Linked DNA regions of Cricetulus griseus. The main gene of each other region encodes a partner of the protein of the gene in region 2 in a complex. Links are inferred from orthologs where the notes say so. Each region holds a gene or a part of one and is shown on either strand. Other genes may lie near its edges. The genes, in order: Sf3b2, Sf3b5, Htatsf1, Srrm1, Sf3b4, Ppil2 and Rbmx2.

The links.
Region 1: Sf3b5 (region 2) and Sf3b2 share a complex: the UniProt entries of both Homo sapiens proteins name them as parts of the SF3B subcomplex of the 17S U2 SnRNP complex. The link is inferred for Cricetulus griseus from reciprocal best matches to the Homo sapiens genes SF3B5 and SF3B2.
Region 3: Sf3b5 (region 2) and Htatsf1 share a complex: the UniProt entries of both Homo sapiens proteins name them as parts of the 17S U2 SnRNP complex. The link is inferred for Cricetulus griseus from reciprocal best matches to the Homo sapiens genes SF3B5 and HTATSF1.
Region 4: Sf3b5 (region 2) and Srrm1 share a complex: the UniProt entries of both Homo sapiens proteins name them as parts of the minor spliceosome. The link is inferred for Cricetulus griseus from reciprocal best matches to the Homo sapiens genes SF3B5 and SRRM1.
Region 5: Sf3b5 (region 2) and Sf3b4 share a complex: the UniProt entries of both Homo sapiens proteins name them as parts of the SF3B subcomplex of the 17S U2 SnRNP complex. The link is inferred for Cricetulus griseus from reciprocal best matches to the Homo sapiens genes SF3B5 and SF3B4.
Region 6: Sf3b5 (region 2) and Ppil2 share a complex: the UniProt entries of both Homo sapiens proteins name them as parts of the minor spliceosome. The link is inferred for Cricetulus griseus from reciprocal best matches to the Homo sapiens genes SF3B5 and PPIL2.
Region 7: Sf3b5 (region 2) and Rbmx2 share a complex: the UniProt entries of both Homo sapiens proteins name them as parts of the minor spliceosome. The link is inferred for Cricetulus griseus from reciprocal best matches to the Homo sapiens genes SF3B5 and RBMX2.

The regions. Positions count from the first base shown.
Region 1 is NC_048596.1:54,019,452-54,023,957, forward strand, and holds the start of Sf3b2 (splicing factor 3B subunit 2), read left to right. Parts: upstream 1-1,635; 5' UTR 1,636-1,669; coding exon 1,670-1,802; intron 1,803-1,973; coding exon 1,974-2,020; intron 2,021-2,463; coding exon 2,464-2,541; intron 2,542-3,771; coding exon 3,772-4,011; intron 4,012-4,506. UniProt on the Homo sapiens protein: Component of the 17S U2 SnRNP complex of the spliceosome, a large ribonucleoprotein complex that removes introns from transcribed pre-mRNAs.
Region 2 is NC_048595.1:275,868,315-275,871,054, reverse strand, and holds Sf3b5 (splicing factor 3B subunit 5), read left to right. Parts: upstream 1-1,449; 5' UTR 1,450-1,598; coding exon 1,599-1,859; 3' UTR 1,860-2,143; downstream 2,144-2,740. UniProt on the Homo sapiens protein: Component of the 17S U2 SnRNP complex of the spliceosome, a large ribonucleoprotein complex that removes introns from transcribed pre-mRNAs.
Region 3 is NC_048604.1:15,383,238-15,387,790, reverse strand, and holds the start of Htatsf1 (HIV Tat-specific factor 1), read left to right. Parts: upstream 1-1,742; 5' UTR 1,743-1,885; intron 1,886-2,112; 5' UTR 2,113-2,168; coding exon 2,169-2,357; intron 2,358-3,960; coding exon 3,961-4,141; intron 4,142-4,502; coding exon 4,503-4,550; intron 4,551-4,553. UniProt on the Homo sapiens protein: Component of the 17S U2 SnRNP complex of the spliceosome, a large ribonucleoprotein complex that removes introns from transcribed pre-mRNAs.
Region 4 is NC_048595.1:17,934,039-17,937,848, forward strand, and holds part of Srrm1 (serine/arginine repetitive matrix protein 1), read left to right. Parts: intron 1-2,356; coding exon 2,357-2,667; intron 2,668-3,810. UniProt on the Homo sapiens protein: Part of pre- and post-splicing multiprotein mRNP complexes. As a component of the minor spliceosome, involved in the splicing of U12-type introns in pre-mRNAs. Involved in numerous pre-mRNA processing events.
Region 5 is NW_023276806.1:60,350,695-60,355,107, reverse strand, and holds the start of Sf3b4 (splicing factor 3B subunit 4), read left to right. Parts: upstream 1-1,412; 5' UTR 1,413-1,536; coding exon 1,537-1,570; intron 1,571-1,955; coding exon 1,956-2,084; intron 2,085-2,331; coding exon 2,332-2,874; intron 2,875-3,121; coding exon 3,122-3,328; intron 3,329-4,413. UniProt on the Homo sapiens protein: Component of the 17S U2 SnRNP complex of the spliceosome, a large ribonucleoprotein complex that removes introns from transcribed pre-mRNAs.
Region 6 is NC_048597.1:72,241,531-72,245,340, reverse strand, and holds part of Ppil2 (RING-type E3 ubiquitin-protein ligase PPIL2), read right to left. Parts: intron 3,510-3,810; coding exon 3,392-3,509; intron 87-3,391; coding exon 30-86; intron 1-29. UniProt on the Homo sapiens protein: Has a ubiquitin-protein ligase activity acting as an E3 ubiquitin protein ligase or as an ubiquitin-ubiquitin ligase promoting elongation of ubiquitin chains on substrates.
Region 7 is NC_048604.1:20,792,198-20,796,726, reverse strand, and holds the start of Rbmx2 (RNA-binding motif protein, X-linked 2), read left to right. Parts: upstream 1-1,592; 5' UTR 1,593-1,631; coding exon 1,632-1,792; intron 1,793-1,960; coding exon 1,961-2,076; intron 2,077-4,347; coding exon 4,348-4,399; intron 4,400-4,529. UniProt on the Homo sapiens protein: Involved in pre-mRNA splicing as component of the activated spliceosome. As a component of the minor spliceosome, involved in the splicing of U12-type introns in pre-mRNAs.

The DNA.
Region 1 (4,506 bases), on a different chromosome or scaffold from region 2:
TTAGTACTGTCCTTTCTGGCGTTGATTCCCCCTGCCCTCCCAGTGGCCTAGGGTAGTGATGGTAACAAAAGGGTCAAAGTTTGGATATGGATGAAGAGAACTAGAACCAGTTTTCCCCCTGCCCCCGTGCTTTCTTTTGTCTCTTGAAAAACCTCACCTTTCCTGCATTTTGTATGCCCCCCCCCAATTACTTCTCCCTTGGGGACAGCTGGTGAAACGGAGGTGGCTAGGAAGAGAAAAGATCTGAAGTGTGTGGGTGAGAAATGAGACCATTTGTGTTCGTCTCCCTTATTCATCACACACAAGAACAAACAGGCTGCATCGAGAGTGGAGGAAGAACTAGAAGGGAGAAGTGAGGAGACAAAATGAATGGGTGGATGCTTGGCAGGCAAGGGTCATGGGGTCTCCACCCAAGAAAAGAGTCTGAGTGTTTTCTTCCTATAAGAAGATAAAATCCCAGGGATAGATCCCCCCCACACAATCATTTATTAGGTGGCTCCTGGATGCTAGATGCTTCATGATAGAAAAAGATCAAGTTCTTGCTCCTGTTTTGGGAATGGAGGTAGGAATAAAGGGTACGAAAGACTTAAAAATGAAACAGGACAGCTGGGCGCGGGTGGCACATGCCTTTGATCCCAGCTCTTGGAAGGCAGAGGCAGGCGGATCTCAAGTGAGTTCAAGGTCAGTCTGGTCTACAGAGCGAGTTCCAGGACAGACAGGACTGTTGCACAGAGAAACCCTGCCTCGAAAAAAAAACAAAAAAAACAAAAAGGGGCAATAGATTGGCTCACATTTGTAATACACTTACTTAAACAACGAAAACCTTGGGACTGGAGAGATGGCGTTAAGAGCACTTGTTGCTTTTGCAGAGGACCTGCAACCGTCTGTAACTCTAGTTCCAGGAGACACTCTTCTGGCCTCCACAGACATCAGGCATGCAAGTGGTGCACATTTCGTTTTGAAAACAAAAGGTGGAAAGTTGGGTGTGGTATGAAAGCTCCTAGAAAGGAGAGGAAACATTTGGCAGAGAAGGCATTTTCTTAAGCCTTTCTCGAATGTGGAAAAGGGATTTTGGTATCGCCCTTCCCCCAAGTCAGCAGCTGGAACTCAGCCCGGCGGGTCCGTTCCTCTACGGGCTCCGATCCCCTTTCAGCCCATTCAAGCACGCCTGGGCCGGGAGCGAGCAGGCAAACAATCGGACACTGTTTTATCAGAGGCATCGGCTCCAACCTCCCACTTGGCGGGCGCCGGAAAGCAGTCTCTATGAGCTCCTGGGTGGAATAAGCATCCAGGTACCTCATCACCGAGAGTGTCGGGTCAGAAGACTTAGTATGCGTTTGGGCAGGTGAGGAGAAGAAGAAAGGAACCAATGGGTGGAGGGCCGGGTCTTCTCAGGGCCCTAGCGGCGGATCTACCACAGGGTACGGGATGTTAAAACAAGCGTCCAGCCTCTAGGCGGTGCAACCGTAGACTACAACTCCCAGAAGGCCGTGCAGCCTTTGTTAGCGGCGAATCCTATCTCCCAGCGAAAGGCAGTGAGTGGGTGTCTGAATCAAGTGCTTTCCAATCACCGCGGGACGTGGCGGAGTGCTCTGCCGGAAGTTCCGGGAAGTAGGCCCGGTGGCTGATCCGAGCTTCCGTGTTGGTCGCGCGCCTTCTTGTGGCTAAGATGGCGGCGGAGCATCCAGAGCCTCCCAAAGGAGAATTGCAGTTGCCGCCGCCGCCACCTCCAGGCCACTATGGCGCCTGGGCTGCTCAGGAGCTTCAGGCCAAACTGGCGGAAATAGGAGCTCCGATCCAGGGTGAGGCTCCCGGGGCGGTCAAAGGGGGCTGCGTGGGCTTGCGGGGCAGTGGGACCTGGTTACCCAGGAGACTCACGGGCGGGGGGCGGAGACAGGCCTCTGGGGCCCGACCTGGCCAAGCCGGGCTGTTCCGGCTGGTGCTGACCCCGGATTCTGTGCTTGGTTCCGCAGGGAGTCGCGAGGAGCTGGTTGAGCGGCTGCAGACCTACACCCGCCAGGTGAGTTGTGGCAGGAGTTGAAGATTACTTTTCCTAGAGGCCTTTAAGATAGGCCACGGATCGGTCTTCGTTTCTTTTACATTTTTTTAAAAAGCTTTTAGGCGGGGTTTTACTGTGTACACCTGGTTGTCCTAGAACTCTCTCTCAGTAAACCAGGGTGGCCTGGAACTCAAGAGATCAGGCTGCTTCTGCCTGCCGAGTGCTCTGGGATTAAAGGTGTGCGCCTCCACGCCCGGCTGGGTCTTCGTTTCTTACGTACTTCATCGCGGCAAGTCGGGTCTTGACCGTTTTGTCAGTTTTTGCCTTTGCTTTATTGTAAAGGTTACAGCCCCAATCTCTGGCAAACGGGCATCGGGTGCACTTTGTTAAATAAATGGTGGAGGAGGCCGTGCAATGGAATAGTTCCCTCTTAGTCTGACACACAGTTCTCTTTTCTTTTGTAGACGGGCATTGTGCTGAATCGACCTGTTTTAAGGGGAGAAGATGGGGACAAAGCTGCTCCTCCTCCTATGTCAGCACAGGTAAGAGACTGTTTATCGGTCATTCTGTTCAGGATAACCTTTCTCCCATGCATTGCACTGGAGATAAGAATATAGTGAATTAAGGGTGGGGTCTGATGAGACAGAATTGGGGCCTTTTCACTTCTGGCTTTGTGCCGGTATTCATCAGTCCGCAATGTCTGCTCTTCTAAATTTGACCTGTCATTCAAGAGTCAACTTGAATACCTAGAATTCATACTTGGTTCTCTCCCAGTTGGATGTAGTCATGTGTTTTGTTATCAGGCATAGCTCCCAAAGTTATTCATTGACACTTTAAGGGGTAATGCTGTGATTTTTTTATTATATACCTCCTGCATTTAGTAATTCATTGACAGTCTGTGCCCTGGCACATTGGTTTCTATTTCTTTAAAAAAACATATTTAAAGTTTAGTGGTGGTGAACACCTTTAATCCCAGCACTTGGGAGGCAGAGGCAGGTGAATCTCTGAGTTTGAGGCCACCTTGGTCTACTGAGTGAGTTCCAGGACAGCCAGAACACAGAGAAATTGTATCTCAAAAATAGTATCTGTGTGTGTGTGTATATGTGTGTGTGTATATATGTGTGTATGTGAATATATACACATATTTATGCATATGAGTGTTTTGCCTGCGTGCATGTCTGTACACCATGTGCATGCAGCATTACAGGAGGCCATAAAGGGGCTTGGATCACCCTGGGGCTGGAGTTACAGAGGATTGTGAGCTGTTATCTGGATGCTGGGAATTGAACCCTGTGATTCAAGAGCAGTTCTTAACTGCTGGTCCAGTCTCTCCAGTACTGGTTCCTATTTGTTTAAGTTCCTTTGGAATCCAGTATTTGAGTGTCTTCCTCTAAACTAGTGGCTTTGGCCTGGGTGGGTGGGGTGTGTGTGTGTGTGTGTGTGTGTGTGTGTGTGTGTGTGTGTGTGTGTGTGTGTGTGTGTGTGTGTGTGTGTGTTTGTGTTTTGTTAAGTGCCTGTATAGACTTTAGAGGTGTTCTTGTATTTTCTTAAATTGAATGCAATTTCAGAGGACCCAATAGCTTTGTTTGATCAGTGTTCTAAAGTTAGCCTTTTCTTCTCTTGATTCTGCTATGGTGCATTTTCTTGAGTTCTGCATCACTAGACTTTGAATGCCTGGCTCTTTTGCTAGTTCCCTTTAGAACTTTAGCTAGAAAATGCTTCTAAAGTGAATAAATGCTTTCTAGTTCATAGCTATATATTTTTTTCCACAGCTGTCTGGGATTCCTATGCCGCCACCACCTATGGGACTCCCCCCTCTACAACCTCCTCCTCCACCTCCACCACCTCCACCAGGCCTTGGCCTTGGCTTTCCTATGGCTCACCCACCAAATTTGGGTCCCCCACCTCCTCTCCGAGTCGGTGAGCCTGTGGCATTATCAGAAGAGGAACGGCTGAAGCTGGCACAACAGCAGGCAGCTTTGCTGATGCAGCAAGAGGAACGTGCCAAACAGGTAGGACAGGTGGAAACCTTACCTAGGTCACCTTAGGTCCCTGATGGGGAAATGGAACCCCAGAAAGCTAGACCCGGAGGCTGTGCCTTTTAGGAAGGTCTTGGTTGAAGACCAAGACCTAGGTAACAGCTGGCAGAGAATCCTAGAAGCAAGAATTTTGGCAGATTGGCCTGGTTGTATTGTTGCTGGCATGAGTTTTTTTTTTTTTAAGCAAGGAAATCATTCATTGAAGGAACATAGCTCTTAGAGCAGCAGAAGAGGGTAATATTTCTCTCCCTAACTTTTATGTTTTTTTTTTTTTTTTTTTGAGACAGGGTTTCTCTGTGTAGCTTTGGAGCCTATTGTCACTTGCTCCGGAGACCAGGCTGGCCTCGAACTCACAGAGATCCGCCTGCCTCTGCCTCCCGAGTGCTGGGATTAAAGGCGTGCGCCACCAACGTCCGGCTCTCCCTAACTTTTAACATCATGGTCCATCCATAGGATGCCATTTAACAT
Region 2 (2,740 bases):
TATTTATCTATTTTTGTTTTTGGTTTTTCGAGGCAGGGTTTCTGGCTGTTCTGGAACTCACTTTGTAGACCTCTTCAGACCTCAATCTCATAGAGATCCACCTGCCTGGGCCTCCTGAGCGCTGGGATTAAAGGTGTGTGCCACCACTGCCTGAGGCATTCTTAATGGCACTGGAATTGCACTAATTTTTGATTTATTTCTTACTAACAGAATTTTCATGCAGATTCTACTTGTCTTAGTTGAAGTTTCTCTTGCTGTGACAGAACACTATAATTAAAAGCAACTCAGGGATGAAAGATTTATTTCATTTACTCTTCCGTATCACAGTTCATCATCTAAGGTAGGCAGGGCAGGAACCTGAAGGCAGGAGCCAATGCAGAGGCCATGGAGGGGTGCTGCTTAATGGCTTACTCTTCGTGGCTTTCTCAGTCTGTTTTCTTATTCAATTCAGGACTACCAGCCCAGGGGTGTCCCCACTGTAATAGGTTGGGCCCTCCCCTATTATCAGTCTCTTTGACTGAGATTGCTCTTTGTCCATTCATCAGATTTTTCTTTTAAAGAATACGATCTCCATCAAGCTATATAATATCCTCAAAGGATATCAGAAAAGAAGTACAGTATCTTTTTCTCAAGTAGTTTATACCTTTGTGAGGAGATACATAACCTCTAAGTTGAACATAAGGTGTAACCAGGCAGAAAAACAGAAGGAGAGAGTACTTGTCTTGAGACACAACTGACTTCCAGAAAATGATTGTAAGCAGCCTTAAAGTTAGGAGGTTGTTTGGTTGGAGGGCTCGGGCCCCTGGGTGGTGTGAGGAGTTGGAGCCTGGATTTTGATGTGGAAGACACCTGGTGTTGACACTCATCACCAAGCATTTAGGACCCAAAGAACTTTTCCCACTACCCAGATCCTAAGGGACAAAGCTGGGACCAAGGGCGGTCCGTGTGAGCTTCTAGGTACAAGAGATAGTTTTCCTGGTCACTTGTAGTCGTAATCGTTGGACACCATCCTACATTAGTCAGGCAAAAAAAAAAAAGAAGAAAAAAAAGGAAGGAAGGAAGGAAGGAAAGGAGGGAGGGAGGGAGGAGAAAGAAAGAAAGAAAGAAAGAAAGAAAGAAAGAAAGAAAGAAAGAAAGAAAGAAAGAAAGAAAGAAAGAAAGAAAGAAAGAAAGAAAGAAAGAAAGAAAGAGAGAGAGAGAGAGAAAGAAAAAGAAAACAAAAAACCAAACCAAAAGAAAAAAACACGCCAAATTCTTTGGACTACAAATCCCAGAATGCAACGCCGGAGTTAGAACGTGATCACCCAAGAGCCACTCAGCAGACCATCATGCAACGCTCTCCAAGTAGGCGGGCTCGCTGAGGGGACGGCCCAATGTTTCTTAGGCAACTCCAATGCCGCGGCAGGATTCACTTCCGCTTCCGCCTGGGAGAAGAGCGTCTGCGCAGGCGCCACAGTGGCGTCTTTCTCCCGCGCCTACACAGATAGAAGTTCCGTGTCGGGCCGGCAGCGGCGGCGGCGGCGTCTCTCAGGTTTGAACGCGGAGCGGGTAGCGTCGGGTCTGCGGCCTGATCTGGAAGCCTAGAGCGGAGCGGCGAGATGACGGACCGGTACACCATCCACAGCCAGCTGGAGCATCTGCAGTCCAAGTACATCGGTACGGGCCACGCCGACACCACCAAGTGGGAATGGCTTGTGAACCAGCACCGGGACTCCTACTGCTCCTACATGGGTCACTTCGACCTCCTCAACTACTTCGCCATCGCCGAGAACGAGAGCAAGGCCCGCGTGCGCTTCAACCTGATGGAGAAGATGCTGCAGCCCAGCGGGCCGCCGGCGGACAAGCCCGAGGAGAACTGAGGCGAGCGCTTCCCAGGCTCCCCCGCCGGCCAGCGGTGGGCCGGTCCTCCTTGCTCGGGCTTCTTCATCGTCTGTCACGCCTGGCCTGCTTACCTGTGGACGATTCCGAACAAGTCACCGAGAGACTGTCGGGACCCCCGGGAACTGTGCGGGAGGAGCGACCCTAGACCCGGCAAGCGAGGGAGAAGACGCCACGGGAGTGATGACGCGTTTCTAATGAGTCTGCCTTTCAGTAGTTGGTTGTCCTTCTTGCCATGTTTATAAAGTTTAGGATTTGTCCTATCTTTTGGTGTGGATTGCTGTGTTCCTTGGGTGGGGTCTGGGGAGGGTGCTGTGGACCAAGGTCTCAAGATGTTGCACGTTGCATCTGTTTTTCTTGAGAGTTAGTCTGTGTGTCTTCAGAAATGAAGAACGGATTTTTTTTTTTCATTCAGTGTTCACCAGAGCGTTTTCCAAAGGTTTGGGGGCATACATTATGCCAATTTGGAGAAAGGCTAAAATAGACCAGGGCTAGATGATGCAGGGAGATTGAGGAAGCTTGAAGAATTCGCAATTTTAAATACTATGCTTGTAATGCTAAGATATTGCGATGATGACATTTGAGAAAAGATTTTACGGAATCCAGAGAAAAACCGTGCAGAGCATGGGAAGTTGCTTACCATCTAATAGGGCATTCGTTGGTGTGTTTTAAGTTACTGAAGGAACACCAAAAAAGCAATGAGTCGCTGGGAGTGGCACACACCTCTAATCCCAGCACCCAGGAGGCAGAGGCTGAAGGATTTCTTGAGTTCAAGATCACATGAAAAAACCGGTAAGAGCCATTCACTGAGCGTTGTGGTACACGCCTTTAATCCTAGCACTCCAGTACTCTGTAGGCAGAG
Region 3 (4,553 bases), on a different chromosome or scaffold from region 2:
TCTCTCAGGTCTAGGCCCTGCTCCAAATGATGACAGACTTTGAAGATTCCCGCATGGAAGGCCTCACCCTCGCTGGAGAGCAGAAAGGGCATGGGATAAGGGGTTGGTAGGGGGCAGGGGAGGAGGGGAGGGAGAGGAACTGGAATTGGCATGTAAAACAAGCTTGTTTCTAATTTAAATAAAATTTTACTTAAAAAGAGTGTGTGCCTTGTGCAGTAATGATCATGTAGACAGTATCTCTCCTGGGTTGTAAACGTACTCCCGAATGAAATGGAAGCCCAATAACAACAGTAGTGAAAAGAGTTTTATACCATTTCCAGATCAAAGCAAGAAATACTTAGTAATGTTTAAACGAACCTAGCAAAATCACAACAAGCAACAAATTCAGTTCTCCAACAGCTCTACCAAAAAAGAACCTCATAAAAATAAATGTATTTGGAAATAAAAACTGTTTTAAAAAAACATGGTTAATGTTGAAATCAGATTCACAGGTCTGTGAGGAGCCAGGGTGCTCTAGAACCCACCCAACCATTGCATTTACAAGCAAAGGTGACTGGAATTGAAGTAACCTCTGGGTAATAATATGGATGTTTACACAGAGTTCATTGCTACTTTTAATGAATTAAAATTTTACTTGCATAGTTAAGATTACAGCAACAAATATTGTTGATAACCGCAATCCACATTTAAAACAAACACTTTGGAATTTTCTAGGTTTTTGAGTATAAAAGGATGCTGAAAACAAAATGATGTCTGCTCTCCAGCTTCTGGTACTTCTATTTTATTGTTCGCCAAATCATAAGTGAGTCTCCCTTATCTGTGCCTGTCTTCCCGACTGCTGTCCCAGAACCTCCCCCAGTGCCTGGCACTTAATAGGAGTGCAGTATAAACCTGCCTGTTTTAAAACATGGACCCCTTGTCGTGTAGAGAGACATGAAGTATTTTGGGGAAAAGTTCTGCTTATGGCAGTTAGTTGGTTGCCTTTCTAAGAGACAAGAAACCGAGCCACATGGTCCAGCTGGCATTTGTACACGGGGATGTTTACAGTCAAGCGTCAAGTTCCAGGCCTCAGCACCTCTGGTACCTTGCAGTATGATGCAGGCAACTGCTACCCTCAGCAACTGCAACCTGAAGGGAAGGTGCTACCAGATGCATAAAAAGGGGGTGAGCTTAGGAGGTGATGGGACCTTCTGCCCATGTTCAGTCACTTATTCACTCACTCTTCGCTAGATCCCAAACAGCATGTTACTGGTTTGGGTTACTGAGATGAGCAAAAGCCGTGTGTCGTGTAGTGTAGGACAAGAAATTCAAAACGATATACTTGGTTCCTTCGCAGGGGCGGGATCTGGCGTGAAAAGAGGCGCATGGCTTTCGCGAAGCGGGAGAAACTTGTCCCCACGGTCCCACCCACCTCCCCAAGATGGCGGTTGCCGCAAAGCCCAGCCCGCGCCAGCACTGCTGTCAGAATGAGGCTGTCGCCTCGTCCAAAGTGCAGAGGACGCCGCCGGGCCCAAGGCCCCTGCGGTGTCATGGATTCCTGCAGGCTTGCGTCCCCATCGGGTGCACGGACACTCCGGCGGCAGCCTTCCCTGGCAGCCCCGCCCCGCCCCCCCGCCCCCCCCCCCCGCCCCCGCCCCGCCCCCGCCCCGCGTCGCGGCCATTTGACGCAAGAGTGGGCGTGTCAGCGCGACCCGCTACGTCGCCACGCGCGGTCAATGGCGACCGCATCGGCCTGAGGCGGACTCCGTTCTCAAGCGACTTTCCTGTTGAGGCGGGAGGGAGCTGTGGTGCCTCCGGAGCCGACGGTGGCGGTGACGGCGCGCCTGCGCGCTTCCGCTTCGCCCTGGCCCGAGCGGGGGCGTCCAGGCCCCGCCGAGCCCGCCAGGTAGGTGGGGTGGCGGCCACTGCGCCGCCGGCGGCCTCGGAACGCCAGTGCGCGCGCGCGCGCGCGCCTGTGGGCCGGCCGGGAGGGCGGAGCCTGGGCGGCGCGGCGCGGCGCGGCGCGGCTCAGCCTTCCCAGGGACTGCTGGGGCGTTGCGGGGAGGCGGGCCAAGGGGGCTGCACCGCACACGACCTGAGCTCTGCCGACCTCCGGCTCTCTCACTTCTCCAGCGCCCTGTCGGCCTCTTCACGTCTCTGAACGCTGCTCCCGGCCCCGCTTCAGAAACATGAGTGGCAACAACTTGAGCGCGAACGACGAGTTTGACGAACAGTTGCGAATGCAAGAATTGTACGGGGACCCTAAGGACGGTGACACCCCGAACGATGCCTCCGGAGAAACGGAATCTGCGGGGGGACAACCGCAGGATGACACTCCCTACGAGTGGGACCTTGACAAGAAGGCTTGGTTCCCCAAGGTAAGAAAAGGGTGGCTGGACTGCCGCTGCGGAGCGTGGCTGTGGGCTCCCCTGGACACCCTTGCCGGACACCCCCTCTTACGTTTGCTCTTCTCAAGTACTAGGTCCTTGAACCGCTGCTTGATGGCTCGTCTGTTCCGTCCGTTCCAGTATCCGATGTATAAAGGAAAGAAAACCTTATGGTGGTGCCTGAAATGTTCTTTATGCCTTATTAATTTTTGTGAAGGTCACAGGCGTTATATTGATGACTGCTTTTTATTGCCAAAAGGAAAAACACCAAGGAAAACACATTTGTAACCGTTTTATCCTGTATAGCCAAACCTGTGAGATGTCTAGTGTCCATGCTGTGGATAAAATGCAGCTTGTTGATTTAGGGGGCGGGAAAGAAGGCTTTTACCCCACTCTATTGAATAAACTTTCCTTGCGTCTTGGTTTATTTTTCTACTGAATTTTGTTCCAGGGCATCTAAGTTTGACTCTTGTAACCACAGGAATATGACTGGGAAAGCACAGAAAATGGTTGGAAAAGGTCTCTACATTCGTTTTGAGTACTTGGAAATTGCTGTGTGTTTAATTTCAACGTGGAAATAACTAGTGTAAGCTGTATGGAGAAAGTACGCTGTTAGTCTTAGCCTAGGAGGGGCATTAGTATTAAAGGTTACGAACAGCCCGTCAAGTGACTTGGGAGCCAATCACAAAAAAACTTGTCTCCATTGTGTAGACCGAGTGTTAGTTTAAAAAGTATTTCAGCTATTCTTTCTTATTTTATATTTGTCCATATCTCAAGCTCCCCAAATTGTTGAAATTTGCTATCCCGTTTCTGGACTTGTAATGCCACCTTGAATGTAGATGTGATTTCTTCTACCTTCTGAGCCCTTTTAATAGTCCGACGGCAATTACTTGGTAACTTTATCTTTTACGTTACTTAAAACCCTGGTTCTTCAAACTTTGGGGGTAAAATTTTCACTTTTCTGTGTACCTGAAAGTGATAGTCATAACTCATAACTCATTCAGCCATTCAGCCATTCTACAATAGTGGGTTCCCCTGCAAAGCCAGGGCGATGGGTGTGTATCAGGCTTGCCTTTGATTTTGTTCTGTCACTAAGCGTTTCTCTGAATTAGTGCTCAAACTCAAATGGGCATTTTGTGTTCTAGCAGTTTCCAGCTTCATACATAAACATAAAAATCTTAGTGTACATACGTATTTTTGTGCATCCAAAAGTGGATTCTGTGATTAGATTTCTAGTTGACTTTTGGTTTTACTCTGTATCATTATTTGATACTTCTTTTGTTCTCTGTATCGGCCACCTTAGTCAGATATACTGTGGAGAAGCAAGAATTTATAAGACAACTAGAAAAGGTGCTAGCATCACTTAAAATTCTCTCATACTTTTTTGTTGGTAGTTTGAGCACTTTTTCATAGTTTCGTACTTTTTTCGTGTTACAGTTTCTATATAAGATGACTGCTCTCCTATTATATTTTAATTATTACAACTACCCTTGGCATAAACACTTGTTAAAGTCTTAGATTATATTACTGAATGTACAGTTGTATAACACATGAAGTAACCATGTCTGCATATGTGCTGACTTAACCCATCTAGATCACTGAAGATTTCATTGCTACGTATCAGGCTAATTACGGCTTTTCTAGTGATGGTGCATCTAGTTCTACTGTGAATGTCCAGGACCCCAACCCAAAGACAGTAGAAGAACCTCCACAAAGAGAAACCCCAGAAACCACTGACTCCAAAAAGAGGGGAGAAAAGAGAAAGGCCGAATCAGGCAAGTGGTTCTGTTTTGCAAAACCTGGGTGTAAAAAAGAAATAGGAAAATGTGTAAATACATTTTACATTTTGGAGGATTATACTAGCATTGAAGGAACATAATGTAAGTTTTCACTTTTATGTAGGCGTAAAGTCATTAAGAATTGAGATAGCCTTTTTCTTTTTCAGAGAGAGCCCTAAAACATTCTCAATCAAGAAGTTTATGTATTTTTGAAAGCTGGGTAATGATTTGAGTTAGACTTAGTTTTCTTAAATAAAGAGAACATTCTAAAAGTTTTTAAGAAGCTGCCACTACCAGGATTTCATAATGTGATTCTTGTTATTTGCAAGTGTTTTATTTATTTCATTTTGATTTTTAGGATGGTTCCATGTTGAAGAAGATAGAAATACAAATGTATACGTGTCAGGTA
Region 4 (3,810 bases), about 260 Mb from region 2:
AACTGGTTACAGAATTAATTAGGTTATTTTACCAGTTTTTTATAAACCCATTTGCTATTTTACCTTAAGTTTGTAAGATCTACTTTGTTTATATATACACAAGCAATAACTTGTGCCTGGGGGTCAGGACAACTTTGGAATCCATTCTCTCCTTCATTTGAGTGGCTCTAGGGAGTTGAGCTTGGATTTGCACAGCAAGGGCCTTTACAGTGATTCTCTCTTCTTCTTCTTCTTTTTTTAAGATTTATTTTGGCCGGGTGGTGGTGGCACACACCTTTAATCCCAGCACTTCAGAAGCAGAGGCAGGCAGATCTTTGAGTTCGAGGACAGCCAGGTCTACAGAGTGAGTTGCAGGACAGCCAGAGCTGTTACACAGAGAAACCCTGTCTCAAAAAAAAAAAAAATATTTTGAATATGTGTAGAGGTGTGTGTGCTCCCGTGCATGAGTGTAAATGCATGCATGAGAGCACAGCTGCCTGCAGAGGTCTCCAAATCCCGTGGAGCTCGAGTTGTAGGCAGTTGTGAGCCACCTGATGGTGCTGGGAACCAAACTTGTGTCCTCTGAAGAGCAGCCCTAATGCTTTAACTGCTAAGCCATCTCTCCACCCTTGTAATGAAGCTTTTGTAACAGCTCAGAGGTAGCATAAAAGGAAAAGTTCTCCATAATTCCATTCCTAGATAGAGCTGTTGCATAATACTTGTTTATACTATAAAGATGTGTCTGCTTAAGGTGCCTTCTGATTGGTTTAATAAAGAGCTAACTGGTCAGTAGCTAGGTAGGAGAGATAGGTGGGACTTAAGGGAGAGAGAGAAATGATAGAGGAGGAATCTAGGTGTGTGGATTTTGCCAACAAGTCAGATGTGTCTGATGTGTCCTTATACTAAGAAGAGGTAACTGAGCCATATGGCAGAACATAGATTTGAAAACTATGGGTTAATTAAGTTACAAGAGCTAGTTGGGAGAAAAGCCTAAGCGAAGGCCAAGCTTTCATAATTAATAATAAGTCTCAGGCCATTATTTGTGGACTAACCATCCAATGATAGTCCAACAAGAAAGCTTGAAACAGCCATTCCTAGTAATTTACAATAGCTACATTTGTGACAATTAGATATTCTCTAATTCAGTCAATAGTACTAACTCATTTTAAACATTGCTGAAATGTTTAATTTGTTTAACCATCCTAAAATGGGTATCAGATAAAATGTTTTAATCTTAGATACATTATTTTATAACAATAAGATTGTATCTAACTTTATCCAAAATGAGGCCTTGTGCCCAGGAACAGAATTGTCTGCCTTACTGTGTTGACAGGCTTTTCAAATCTGCTTTGGACAGAACTTTGTTGTCTATTTTTCTGTGTTGCTGCTGGTTGAACCAGGGCTGAGCCTGTGCTCCACCTCTTGAAGTCACCCCAAGTCCTGGAAAAGCTGTTAAGTTAATGTTTTTTGCAGAGAACCACAGCAGCTAGAAAATGGGGAAACATCATAAGCTCCTCCAAGTTCTATCTGTGCAGGTAGGGACTTTCTGACCCATACTTTAACAGCAACAACAACGAATACCATCTTCTTTGGAGAGTGTTGTCCAGGTACCAGTATTTAAACGCATATAATTGCTGCTGAGCTGGTGGGCAAGGATAGACGTGTATATGGCAGAATTCCAGACATCACACTTTTCACATTGATCATTCTATTTTGGAGAGAAGTAATGCCAGTGCTCCTTAGTACACTATTAAAGAAACTACAATTTCTTACATTGTGGAATTTTGCAAACAGCGTGTTTCAATAGTGCGCACTAAACAATTTAGCAGTCACAGTATTTTGCAGATTGTGTAAGATTCCCTTTCAGCCAGTTTTTAATCTCACACTTAAGGTAGGGTTTCTTTTTTTCAGGTTCTCAGGAATTCTTCTGCCAAAGGTGAATTCTGCAGGTACACGTAATTGCAACAGAACTTAACCACAGATTTTGCCGCAGAATTCGAGAGGCCCCCCTACTTCTAAGTTTATGTAGCTAAATGAATTTCAAATCTTGCACATATTTTTAGTGCAACTTGTTTGACATCACTCTGAATGAGCAATACTCTCTCACCCCCAAAGTTGTACAAACTCCATAACCCCAATATCACTCTTCAGGAAGAGGCTGCTTCGTTACTGAATTATAGCACTCACAGCTCAAACACTATCAGAATGAGTTAAGTGTATTTACTCTCAGAAATAGCTGTTTCCTGTCCTAGGTTATGGTTTTGCTTCCAATCTTCTTGAAGTAATTTGTGTACTTAGCTACATAAACTCCAAAGTTGGATAAAAACTAGCCGTGTTTTTGTGCACCTTGTACACACTGTGGAGTCTTTCTTCATAGGGATGCAGGCAGTGAGATGAATGCTCTATTCCACAGAAGGAGGCGTTCTTCTGCATCGTTGTCTGGAAGTAGCTCTTCGTCTTCGTCATCTCGTTCCCGGTCACCGCCAAAAAAGCCTCCCAAGAGGACCTCCAGCCCACCTCGGAAAACTCGTAGGTTATCTCCTTCTGCAAGTCCTCCAAGGCGAAGGCACAGACCATCATCTCCAACAACTCCACCACCTAAAACTCGCCATTCCCCCACCCCCCAGCAGTCAAACCGCACAAGAAAAAGTCGTGTTTCTGTGTCTCCAGGAAGAACTTCGGGTAAAGGTAAAAACACACAAAGCATTTTGTTCTCTGGCATCAGGGTGAACCCAGTTGTTCCACCTCCAGAAGCAGCTAGGCAGTACTTTCTATGTAACAATGTAAATGGCTTGCCTTGCCTTTCTGTTCTCAGGTGTTTGGCGGGGGGCCGGGGGCTGTCTGTAAAGGTAGTTTGTTTTTCCAGTGTCCTTTGTGTGGGCAGGTGGCAAGTGGATCACTAGCTTGGAGCTGTTTGAGTTGGGGTAACAATTGGGATTTGTCTTCTTACTGTAAGAATTTATTTGGTTACTCTGAGACCAATTAACTATTCCATCTTCCCCACACCCCTTCTTAAGGCTTTTTGTTTGGTATCTTACTTGAGAACTTTATGTTCTGTTACGCTTTTTGGTCACATTTATGCTCCCAAGGGATGACTGACTGACTGATTGATTTAGGGTCTAGGCAGGGTTCTTGGGTGCTGTCTTCACTCTTCAGGAGATTGGTTTCTAAGAAATTGATGACCTGTGATTATGCCAGCCACATAGAATGTTGGTTAGTCTGTTAGTTGTAACTTGCTGGGGTTTTAGCACTAAAATGGACGTGGAGAGAGAGGATAGGATCCATTGGAATAGTGCCTTTGGTGCTAGGGCTGGAGTAATAGAGCAGCCTGAAAGGTGAGTGTAGTGGGGCGGGAGGATCAGGCAGGCCCATCGGCTGCCCAAGTACTGGGATTTCAAGGGTGCACCACACTAGCTGCCCCTTTTAAACTGTTAGACTGAGAGTGATCTATGGAAAGAGGACCTGCTGGTGATGGCAAGCTGCAAAAGTAATGTGCGGATTATTATTATTATTATTTTTACTTTAATGCTAAGTTGACCCAGTGACAAGTAAGATGTGGTATTTAAGACAGCTTTTTTTTTTTTTAACATGCACCATATTTATATAAAATGCGGACATTTCAGCCTGATACTGCCCTAGCCTGCTTGTCGTTCCCTGTGAACTCTATACTTGTAAATGTTTCTTTTGTTTAGAGCTAGAAAGCTCTCTAAGAGGAAGACAATCTTAAGTGTTCCCACTATAATTTTAGAAAAATACATGTTTTTTTCTATTTAGATTATAGAGAAGAGTTACTTTAAAATACCAAACAGAAGGAGTTTGGTTAAAATAGGC
Region 5 (4,413 bases), on a different chromosome or scaffold from region 2:
GAGAAAGGGGGCAGGGGTGGAGGAAGAAAGAGAGAGAGACCTTTGTGCCCTTGTTTTCCCCTCCCCAGATGGGCTCCTCGGCTCTTACAATCTCTGGCCTCCAGGATGAACTCTCTTGTCTTCAGGAACTATTAAGAAAACTGACACCAAGAATATCTCCTGAGGATCACTGCAAGAAGAGAGATCCAAATACCATCCTCTCTCAGATCCGTTGAGACTGCTAGCATTCTCGAAGGCAGGGCAGAGGGAATGTGGAGGGAGTTCTGCTCATGTTTCTTTGTATCTGACCTCAGTGTTTCAAGCTTTCACATTCCAGCCCATAAAGGAGCTCACTCCGTGAGTGAGTTTCTGTAGCAGACATGGAGCTACCAACCTCCAGCTATTTTTGTTTCTCTGGAATAAGAAACAAAACCACTTCAGAACGTTTCCTTTTTTTCTCTGGCAATTCCATGCCGTTTAGATGACAAACTGTCAAAACTGTGAGATCAGAGACACTTCATCAGTTCCAACAAGATGCCCCAGAGACTTCATTCTCAACCCCTCACACTGCTTTGAAATCCAGTTTCTTAGTCTTCTGTGGGAATGAGGGAAATAAGGGAGACACCCTGTCCTCCCACTGTATATTTTTGTAGTGGTATTTCTATTTAAGGACTTCATTAAAGCACAGTATTTCTACACATTGCTGGTATTGTTTCTTGTGTTGAATGAAGATCTCGGTAAAGTGGTTGGGGGAGGGTATGCACTGAGAGAAAAGCACCCAGATTATTGATACAGAAATTAAGGACCCAGTTCGAGGCCAGCCTGGTCTACAAGAGCGAGTTCCAGGACAGCCTCCAAAGCCACAGGGAAACCCTGTCTCGAGAAACAAAACAAATAGATAAAAAAGAAGTTAAGGACCCAAAACAGGAGGGGCTATTCCGACGAAATTTGGAGAAAGAAGCACCAACCCCTTTTTTTTTTTTTTTTTTTTTTTTTGAGACAGGGTTTCTCTGTGTAGCCCTGGCTGTCCTGGCCCGGGAGGAAGGCTCTCTGAGTGTCTCTTCTGTGGGAGGGGAGGGATGCACGGTGCTGCCGAGTGCTCCCGAGGCTGAGACTGACCGTGAACACACGCGGCACCGTGCCTCAGATGACCCCACGAATAGTGGGGCTCAGACACTTCCGTCTGCACTGAGGTAACAGGCTGCGTCCCGAGGCAGCCGGCCCGCCCCTCCCTCCCCCCAGCACGCTTCTCTGCGTCACAGAACATACAAGGCTGAGATTAGGGCTTAAATTTGGGCTGGGGAGCAGCGGGACTGCCTGACAGGCGAGAGCCGCGTCGTCAAGAGGGGCCTGAGCGCCTCGGCGCCAGCCGGGCGTCGTGAGAGCTCCACCACAGCGTCTTTCCAGACACGCGTCAGACGCCTAAGATGGCCGCGGCCACTTCCGGCTCCTCCCCTGCCGCCCGCCCCGCCCAATGGGAGCCTTGGCCCGGAAGTGGAAGTCGTAACAGGTCAGAGGGCGGTGCTGCCGCTTAGAGACGGCGGGAGCCTCTTCGCCATGGCTGCCGGGCCCATCTCCGAACGGAATCAGGGTAATTGGGGGAGAAGAGCCCAAGGTGGGCCCAGGGAGGTGGAGGGCAGATGAGTGCTAGAAGCGTTAGCGCCAGCGTGGGAAACTAGGTTTCCCCGGGAAGGCCCGCGTCTGGGGGCTGGGCCTGGGGGCCGGGTTGAGGCCGAGGCCTGTGAGGGTGATGCCTCTGGATCCGGTTCCCGTAGGCACTCCCGCTGCTACCAAGCGCATCATTGAAACTCCACCGGGAAGTACACAATCCGCAAGAACGCCACATTAGACTTGAGCGGGTTTTTTTATACTAGGCAGGCAAAGGGTGATCTCAGGGTTTTAGTTACTTTTTTTTTAAATTTCTGTTTTCCTTTTAACTCGTGACCTCGTCCTTACCTTCTGCTTTCTTGCTTTAGATGCCACGGTGTACGTGGGCGGTCTAGACGAGAAAGTGAGCGAACCACTGCTGTGGGAGCTCTTTCTCCAGGCAGGGCCGGTGGTCAACACCCACATGCCAAAGGATAGAGTCACTGGCCAGCACCAAGGTGAGTATTTACGGCAAGAAATGACTTTACTTTGGGTTAGCGGCCCCTGAAGCATCTCAACACTAGTCACAGCTATTTTGGAATGGTTTCTTTCTCTAAGCTTCAGTTGGCAGTTTGTTTCAGGAGTAGTCTCTTAGCTTTAGTTTGAAGTTGGGATTCTTCCAACTTGTTCTTTGTTTGGAGGCTGGTGAGTTAGTGTGTCGTTTTGAATCTCTTCATCTGAGTAGTCTTTTCTTCAATTCCCCAGGCTATGGCTTCGTTGAATTCTTGAGTGAGGAAGATGCTGACTATGCTATTAAAATTATGAACATGATCAAACTCTATGGGAAGCCCATACGGGTGAACAAGGCTTCAGCTCACAACAAAAACCTGGATGTAGGGGCCAACATTTTCATTGGGAACCTGGACCCAGAAATCGATGAGAAGCTGCTTTATGATACTTTCAGCGCCTTTGGGGTCATCTTACAAACCCCCAAGATTATGCGGGACCCTGACACAGGCAACTCTAAGGGTTATGCCTTCATTAATTTTGCCTCCTTTGATGCTTCGGATGCAGCAATTGAGGCCATGAATGGGCAGTACCTGTGTAACAGACCCATCACTGTGTCTTACGCCTTCAAGAAGGACTCTAAAGGCGAGCGCCATGGCTCAGCAGCTGAACGACTTCTGGCAGCCCAGAACCCGCTGTCCCAGGCTGACCGTCCTCACCAGCTGTTCGCAGATGCACCCCCTCCACCCTCTGCCCCCAATCCTGTGGTTTCATCCCTGGGTTCTGGGCTTCCTCCACCAGGTAAAGCTTTTAGTTCAAACTACACCAGTGAGAGGCCCTTGGGAGGGAGGGTCAGAAGGCAGAAGAAACCCTGAGGGAGTAAGCTGTTAACTCAGCGGGCAGCGAGAAAGGGATGAGGAGTGCTGGTGGAAGGGATGCAGATGTTGGGTTTCTTTGGGAGACTGGAGTTTAGTGTGCTGGAAGGAAGCTAGAGCTCTGTAAGACAGTCTTTCTTTCTTCACAAGATAGACTCTCGTTTCTTGTATAGGCATGCCTCCTCCTGGCTCCTTCCCACCTCCAGTGCCGCCACCTGGAGCCCTCCCTCCTGGGATACCCCCAGCCATGCCCCCACCACCTATGCCACCTGGGGCTGGAGGACATGGCCCCCCAGCAGCAGGAACTCCAGGAGCTGGGCATCCTGGTCACGGACACTCACATCCTCACCCATTCCCACCAGGTGGGATGCCCCATCCAGGTAAGTGGTCTGCTGGGAAACGGAGATGAGCTTGTGAGAGTGATTCTGTCACTGCTCTTTGTCTTGGGTGGAAATAGTCTAGAGTCTCCCTTTCCTTCAGAAAATACTTCTGTGTGTACTTCAGCTCCCTCCCGTCTTGTCTCTGGTTTTTCCTTTTTCTGCAGAATAGCCTGTTCTTACTGTTTTTACTCTCAGCCTCTCCTCTGATTCCCAGGAAGGAGCTCAGTTGCCAGATCTAGGCGACATTTTTGCTTATTTTTTTTTGTTGTTGTTTTGTTTTAGGGATAAGGTCTCTCTGTGTAGGATCCTGACTGTCCTGCAACTCATTCTGTAGACCAGGCTGGCCCTGAACTCAGAGATCTGCCTGCCTCTGTCTCCCAAGTGCTGGGTTTAAAGGTGGCACTACCACTGGGCAGCCGTTTCTGCTTTTTGTTTTTGTTTTTCGAGACAGGGTTTCTCTGTGTAGTTTTGGAGCCTATCCTGGCACTGGCTCTGTAGACCAGGCTGGCCTCGAGCTCACAGAGATCCTCCTGCCTTTGCCTCCCGAGTGCTGGGATTAAAGGCGTGCACCACCAACGCCTGGCCTGTTTCTGCTTCTTAACCACTACTATACACATGACGAGCTATGCATGTATTAAACTGTTTCCTCTATGTGACTTATCAACCTCAGCAACCTGGGTCAGCCCCCTTTTTTGTCTGTGTAGATTTTGTGCTTTGTTCTTCTTCCAGTGTTTATTTGTAGTGTTAAATGTGCAGGTACTGATTCCTTCTGTCTCTAGTCCATGGTTCTTGACAGGCTAGACAAGGCTGCTGCTCAACCCACAGTTCACTTTTCTCCTTCCAGCATCTCCTTCTACAGCCCTTGTTTGTAGCAGCTAAGTTCACAACTCTGGGAGTTTGTATACTGTCATCCACTTGCAAGTTTAACACATGTTTCTGCCAGTTGCCACAAACCAGCACCTTACTCTGTTGTACATATACTGACTGTGGTAATCTCCTATCTCTTTGACTCTAATTTTCTCTGTCTTTGATCTACTTTTATTCATAGGAATTTCCTTAAAATTCTTTTGTTCCCTATTAACTTA
Region 6 (3,810 bases), on a different chromosome or scaffold from region 2:
CTGCGAACATGCACAGCATCTGCTCTTACCGTCCGAAGATAGTGTGCTTCTTATCCAGGTAAGCACAGGAGCGAAATGTGATGAAGCTGGGGAAAGCACATGGAGGTCAGGGAAGCAGCAGGCTGGGCCACCCAGCATACTCTAGTTGTAACAACGACTGCTCCTCAGTGGAAGCCACCTGCCCTTTCCCAAGTAAATCCAGACCTCTGGAGAAATCCCAGAGCTCGGCTGCCAACATCCCATGAGAGCCAAGCAGGAGACAGTGGAGGCTTGAGCTCGCTATCCAACTATCTTCAGGAGGCAATGGTTAGGGGTGAAGTAAACAGGCCATGTATGTGCAGCCTGGAGGGAGCCCTAGACTATAGCCTATAAGTGGGTGACAGCAGAACGCTGGAAGACATCAGACAAAAGGAGGAAAGTACAGCTGGGTGTGGTGTGGGGACTCACAGTGAGCCCTCATCCCTGAATAAAATAAATACTATGGAAAGCAGGAAGTTTATGGGATGGGTTGCAGTGCAGTCCCTACACAAAGTGGTACATGAACTCAGCCCTATTGTGACAACAGGACACAAGCCTCATCCTGACAGCCCACAGAGACCCTTCAGTGAGTAATGAAGATGCATCACCCTGCAAGCAAGGGCACTCCTAAGGTCACCAGGCAAGTCATGGAGCCCACACCTATGCACAGTCTAAGCCTTCACACTAGCTGAACTCCTGTTATTGCCATTGGAACAAGGGCTCATTGGCTATGCTATGGAACCAAGGATGACTGAATTGATCAGACCTAGCTCTCTTGAATTTCTAACATAATAAAGGAAGCTAGAAAAAGAATGAAATGAACCTGGAAAAAAAAAAAAAGAGGCAAGTAAAAAAACAACAAAAATGCAACTGGAATATTTAGGTTTTGTTCAAGTTTTTGAAGAGACTGTAAGGAAATGCTGACAAAGGAAAGCTGTCACATGTCCTGGAGAAAGGGCTCAGCAAACAAAAGTGAGCGCAGCTCTTTCAGGGTACAAACTCAGCCCGTGCCAAAAGAAAATGACTCTACGTGCACACCTCTCCTAGCCATACAAAGCAGCAACAGCTCAGTCACATGACTAGAGACAGATTTAAAAACTAGACCTCTGACAACAGAGCCACCTATCCTGACAAATGTTAGACTACAAAATCACATTTCATTTGGAGCAGGACACACATGTGCCTACCTCCAACACCCAGTGACAATGTGACTGATGTGCACATGGGAAGTTGAAGATGTCTCCTCTTCTGATAAGTTCAAAAATCTACAAAGAAACTCTTCATATAAACTTAGGAGAAATGACTCTGCAATTAAAAGCACTGGCTGCTCTTCCAGGACAAGAGTTCTATTCCCAGTACTTACACTCACAATCACCTATAACTTCAGTTCCAGGGACCAGGCCCTCTTCTGTCCTCCTCTGGCATCAGGCACAAACTTACATGCAGTATACAGACATACACGTAGGCAAAACACCCATACACATTAAAAAAATTTGGTTTTGTTTTTCAAGATAGAGTTTCTCTGTGTAGCTTTGGAGCCTTTCCTTGAACTCACTCTGTAGACCAGGCTGGCCTTGAACTCACAGAGATCCGCCTGTCTCTGCCTCCCAGATGCTAGGATAAAAGGCATGTGCCACCACCGCCTGGCTAAAAAATTTTCTTAATTTTTTTTTTTTTTTAAGATTTGATTGTAGGGGCTGGAGAGCTGGCTCAGCAGTTAAAGAGCACTAACTACTCTTCTGGAGGACCCAGATTCAATGCCAGCACCCACATGGCAACTCACAACTGTCTGTAACTCAAGATCCAACACCGATACCCTCGTACAGACATACAAGCAGGCAAGACACCAATGCATATTAAAAAAATTAAAAAAGAGGATTTGACTAGCTGTGTGATGGCCCACACCTGCAATGTCAGTACTCCAAGGCAGAGTTCTAGTACAACCAACCAGGGCTACATAATGAAACTTTGTATCAATATAAGTTGGCATGGTGGCCCACACCTTTCATCCCAGCACTCAGGAGGCAGAGGCAGGAGACTCTGAGAGTTTGAGGCCAGTCTGGTCTACAGAGGAGTTACAGGACAGCCACGGCTACACAGAAAAACCCTGCCTTGAAAAAAAAAAAAAAAAATCAACAAATACTAAAATTCCTTTGTATAACATTATCCAGGAAGTCAGAAGATCCACATAAAGAAAATGACAAAACTGAGCTGACAAGCTGGCTTGGCATGTGAAGACACCTGCTGTGTTAGGCCTGGCAGCCTGGATGTGATGACTGGATGCCATGGTGGAAGGACAGTCCTGACCCTACAAAGCTGTCATCTGACCTCCACACGCACACTGTGGCATGAATACCCTCACATAAAATAAGCTGTAATCAGCTGTGATGGGGCATGGTTTTGTCTTTTTTTAAATGATAGCCACCTTTAAAGATACCTTTCATAAACAAGATAGTTAAAGAAGAAATGGACAGAACATTTTTTAAAGATTTTTTTTTATTATTATTTTATGTGCATTGTCTGTGTGAGGGTGTCAGATTCCCTGGAACTGGAGTTATAGAAAGTAGTGAGCTGCCATGTGGGTGCTGGGAATTGAATCCACATCCTCTGGAAGAACAGCCAGTGCTCTTAACCACTGAGCTATCTTTCCAGTCCTGATGGTGAAAGTTTTTAAACACAGCACCCAGTATACAGAGACAGGCAGAAACCAGCCTGGTGTACACAGTGAGTTCCACAAGAACCAGGACTACATAATGAGAACCGGTTTCAAAATATTTTTTAAAAAAGAAAATAACAAAACTATACTCCATAGATAAAAGATATACCCTGGATGGAGACAGTTCTCAATGGTAGAACATGTATTTAGCATGCACAAAGCCTTGGGTTCACACCCCAGCACAAAAAAGAAAAAAAAAAAGACATATCCAGGAGAATTAAGCCACATTATTTGATTAAGATTTGATGAAGAATAGAATACAATACAAACCTATTCCAAAACACAAGACCAGACATCCAAGAGCCTTACCACCCACCACCACACACACTGGGCTCTGATAAGCCAGAGCCTTAGTACCTCTTCCTGGCCTTTTGTCCTCAGAATACCTCCTCCCAAAGCACTGGACCAGCAACCTTGCATGGCACCTGGTACCCACACACTCCTGGTTTTCCTGTTGGACCCCAAGAGGCCTTTGGGAACCCACTCATGACCACTATTCTACCAGCTGACTTGGGCTCCTTTCCTGGAGACGCCTGTGCTCCACCTGACTGAACACCCCCTTGCTTGGATTTGACTTGGGCCCAGCACAACCTTTAGGGACAACGCCAGGCGCTTTGCAAACCATCCTAGCAGCTGAGCAAGAAAAGCTGGACTCACAACTGAGACTTGTTGGTGTTGGGCCCCGAGTTGGCCATGCTGAGCACTCCACGGCCTGTATGTGAGAGGTTGGGGCGGAACTCATCTTTGAAAGGCTTGCCCCAGTAGGACTCTCCACCTGGAACAGAAGAGCAGAGTCAGTGGTCAGCCACAGAGCCTTGTCCAGAAGCAGAAGACAGCGACCAGGCCCTGAGACACAATTCTTGATGACCCCTAGATCCTAGTGCCTTCCTCAAGCTGGAACTGCTCACTCACCCTGTGGGCCAGGGGCTACAGGGCCAAAGATACAAGGCATCATTCAAACACATGGATGGAAGTCATACTTGACCCATGCAGCTGAAAGCTTGGGGAAAAGACTATTATGCCCTGTAAGGGCCATGGGGCCACCTTATATTATTATGACAGGAGGGCATGGCCAA
Region 7 (4,529 bases), on a different chromosome or scaffold from region 2:
TGGGAGAAAAACTTTACCAGCTGTACTTCAAAGGCTACTATTCAGAATTTACAAAAAAATTGAAATTAAACACCAAGGAAATAAATTTGTCAGTCACCAAATAAGTTCACTATCCATAGTCATCAGGAAAATGAAAATTACAAATAATGAAACAAAATTTAAATAAGAAATAGAAATTACTACTTTGAGATACCACCATGAGATGTCACTGTCAGAGTGGCTATGGTCAATCAATCTGAAAACAAATGTTGGGGAGGATGTGGAGAGAAAAGAACCTTCATTCTCTGGTGGGGGTGGGTGAAAACCAATACAGCCATTGTGGAAATCAATCTGGAGAGTTTTCAAAAAACTAAAACTAGAACTACCATACGACCCTAATATTTCACTCCTGGGCTTATATCCAGAGAACTCCCTGTCATAGAGATATTTGCATCCTCATGTTTATTACTTCTTTATTCACTATAGTAAATAATTAGAATCAGCCTAACTGTCCATCAACATAAGAATAGGTAATGAAAATTTGGCATATATGAAAGGTGGCAAACTATTCAACTATCAAGAAAAAATAAAATCACAAAATTTGTAGAAAAATGGATGCGATTAGAGTGTATTAAGTGAGGTCATACAATCTCAGAAAAACTCTGCATGTTTCCCCCTTATATGCAGAATTTAGCTAACAATATACACATATACGTGAACAAATGTACATGTGAGTGCCATGTAACATGAAGAAAAAAGAACAAGAAAGGCTAAATATTAGGTGAGGATGGACTGAATGCAAGTAAAAGGGGATATAAATCAAATTCTTATAGCTCTAATGATATCATATTTTTTGGTTTTGTTGGTGGACAAGTGAATAAAAATATATTTGATAGTGACAGCCTAAAATCCAATGTGAAGTTCCACAGCTTCTGTTCTCAATGCTATTCTAACAGTATAGAAGTCCATTTGAGTCTTTGGGTCTGGTTAATTTCAGTGTTTAACTTGCAATCGTTTTTGAAATAATGAAGTTTAAAATAAAAAAAAAATAAAGTCAGTTAATCCAGTAGGGCGTGTTGATCACGAGACAGGGTTTCTCTGTAGCTTTGGAGCCTGTCCTGGCACTCGCTCTGGAGACCAGGCTGGTCTCGAACTCACGGAGATCCGCCTGCCTCTGCCTCCCGAGTGCTGGGATAAAAGGCGTGCGTCACCAAGGCCCGGCGTAAGACCACATTTCTTACGTAAATCTGTGGGTATTTAATTGGGTCTGTAGAGGCACACTGGTCCGTCTTTAATATTCGAGCGGGGAAACAATTCTCATAGCTATTTTCTTTACTTTTCTACTGTTAAATCCCAAACAGGGAGGCTTTGAGGGACTATTTTTGAGCAATTGCCATGGAGGGAAAGAACAGGGCTTTAGATTGAGAGAACAGGGAGTTTCGTCACCCTATCAGACACACTACTTCATTCAGAAAACGTTTAAAGCTAAATCAAACAAAAACTATCCAGAAGCTGAAGGTCCCTTAAAACCCCGGACCCCGCCCCTGGTCTACGTCACTAGGGAACTAGTTCCCTGACTAACTGACTGGAGAACTACTTCGCCACAGGAGCAAAGGGCACTAAGCGCGAGAAAGGCTTCCACGCTACTGCGCATGCGCCAAGTCTTAACGTGCCGGAGCGGAAGTTCCAGCGGAAGTTCCGCCTCGAGTTCGGCCGCCTCCAATCTGAGCTGGGTGATCGGTTGTGCCCGCCCTTCGTCGCCTCACCCGGAAGCTCATTTCTTGAGAGAAGAGCGCGAAGGCGCGAATATGAAGTAAGGGCTTCGTTTTTTTCGTCGGGAAGGGGGAGTGGGTTGCGGACAGTTGCCCACAAACGGTGACGGGTCCTCGCCGGGGCGGTGGGGCCTTCAGGCCTCGGGGCGGGAGAAGAAGGCAGGCTGGGAGGAAACGAACTTTTAACGAAGTCTTCTCCTCCCGCGCAGCCCTTTAACTAAGGTGAAGCTGATCAACGAACTGAATGAGCGAGAGGCTCAACTCGGGGTGGCGGAAAAGGTGTCTTGGCACTCGGAATACAAGGACAGCGCCTGGATCTTTCTTGGTGAGGGCCACAGTTTTCTCTAGCAGTGCCTTTCGGAGTCGCTGCGACCCACCCCCCTCCCGCTCCGGTTACTTAGAGCCCCTGCTGACCACGCTTGTCACCCACACAGCTTGTCTGCCCACAGTCCGTTTTTTATTCTCTTTTACTCGTCCTTTTCCAGTTATCTTTTCTGATAACCAGTGCTTTTTTTTTCTTTTTTTTTTTTTTTTTTTTTTTTTTTTTTGGTTTTTCGACACAGGGTTTCTCCCTGACTTTGGGGGCTATCCTGGAACTTGCTCTGGAGACCAGGTTGGTCTCGAACTCACAGAGACCCGCCTGCCTCTGCCTCCCGAGTGCTGGGATTAAAGGGGATTAAAGGTCTCGCGCCACCAGCGCCCGGCTTAGCCAGTGCTTCTTAGAATTGGTATTTACCATTCATTGCACTTAAAGGCTTTCCACTTAGCTGCCCAGAGACAGTTAACTCCACAGCCAACACATTACGAGGCCAAAGAAAGTGCGGTGCGGACAGGTGACTAGAGTTCTTTAAGGTTACATACTACATACTGCAGCACTATGAGATTAGTGGTCATTATTTTCATTTTTACTGTCTGCCCCTCCGCAAAACTATTTTCTCCTGTGATTGACTTTTGCTTCTAGTACTTTGCTGATTGTTGGGTTCCTGGACAGACAGTAGCCATCTGGAAAATATTTCGTGTGGACTCCTCACTCAAAATCAGCTTTACTCCTGCTTAAAATTTAGAATGTCATCTGAAAAGGTCGCGGTATCTAGGCGTGTTCATTAAGGGAAAGCTATACACCTGGTGAAAATACAGTCCACATTCCACTCTTGGTCCTGGGTGGATATGATGGGACATTTTAAGCAAACCTAACTGCCACATACTAGTGTGTCCCTTCCTTAAGACTTAATAAAGTTGGCCAGGAGTCACCTGTCAGGAAAGCTCATTCACCTGAAGACATGCTGAGGACATGGAAGGAAAATGATCCCCTTAGTGAAGCAATGTCCCGCAGGAGTTCCTCACTGCACTTATTACCTATTGCTGTTACATCTGTCTGCTGTTCTGACATCTAACTTATCCATCCCCTCCCTTTCTAGCCCTTCTTTGAATATTGTCTGAAATCCTGAGCATGCTTGCCCTAACACTCTGGACTTTTTCTTATTTCAAGTCTACAGGCTCTCCCGTTCCCTTGCAGCTGTTTCTTAGCCGCCATTTTTGAGCATGCCTGCCTGCATGGCCTTCTGATTAACTACGTATTTCTTCGTCTTGTCCATCTCCCTCCTCCCAGTAGCTGGTAAATTTTACAACTCACCTCCCCATCAGCTCTCTCTCAAATGCTAATAAAATGGATCTCAGGCTTCCTCAGTCTGTTTTAAAATTACTGACAAGACTAAGAGCCTACAAAGGGGAACTCTTAATATCTCTGGGAACAATATTACTATCCTTTGTTCACTTTATGTCACAACCAATAATCCTGCAGTTTGACTTTTGAAAGAGGCTATTTCACTAGATATTGTGTTAAGCATTTTATATGCACCGTTTTATTTTGTGTTTATAACATTCTTGTGAGGCAAATATACTGATAGCCCCTTTTTACACAGGAGGTAAAAAACATGGAAGGCAAATAATTTCCTGTGACTTGCCTAACAGTTTTCTTTAAAATTCTTAGTTTACACATAGGTGAGCATAACAATAGCATATTTGAACTCAATGTTTGTGAAATCTGAGTCTTGTGCAGGAAATTTTCTGTTTTATAGGAGTTTGGATGTGAGGACTGAATGAGATTAATTTGGAAGACAGGCGTTGGTGGCACATGCCTTTAATCCCAGCACTCGGGAGGCAGAGGCAGGTGAATCTCTGTGAGTTTGAGGCCAGCCTGGTCTCCAGAGCGAGTGGCAGGATGGGCTCCAAAACTACACAGAGAAACCCTCTCTCAAAAAACCAAAAAAAAAATTAATTTGGTAAGTGGTAACCCCTTTCCACTTAGACTTAATCACTTTTATTCCTGTTTTTGGAGACAATCTCATTTTGTAGTTCTGGCTGTCCTGGAACACACTCTGTAGACCAGGCTTGCCTAAAACTCACAGAGATCCAAGAGTTAATTGCTTTTCTGCTGGACTGTTGTCACTTTTCATCCTCTGTCATTGCATTAGACTGATTTTTGTGAGTTCAGGGCTTACTCACTCTGCACCTCCAGTATCTGGCCCAGTGCATAATATGCAGTAAACACTTGATTAATGTTTGCTGACCTGAACTGTGCTTTGTTTTCTTCTAGGAGGGCTTCCTTATGAACTGACAGAAGGAGACATCATCTGTGTGTTCTCACAGTAAGTCCTCTTTCATTTCCTACCTTCTGGGTGCATAGAGATGTTTGCTTCTGTAGTTTATTTTTGTAAGGCAAAAACAGTATTTTAAGCTGGCTATGGAGTTGTATACCTCTAATGCCAGTAGAAGAGA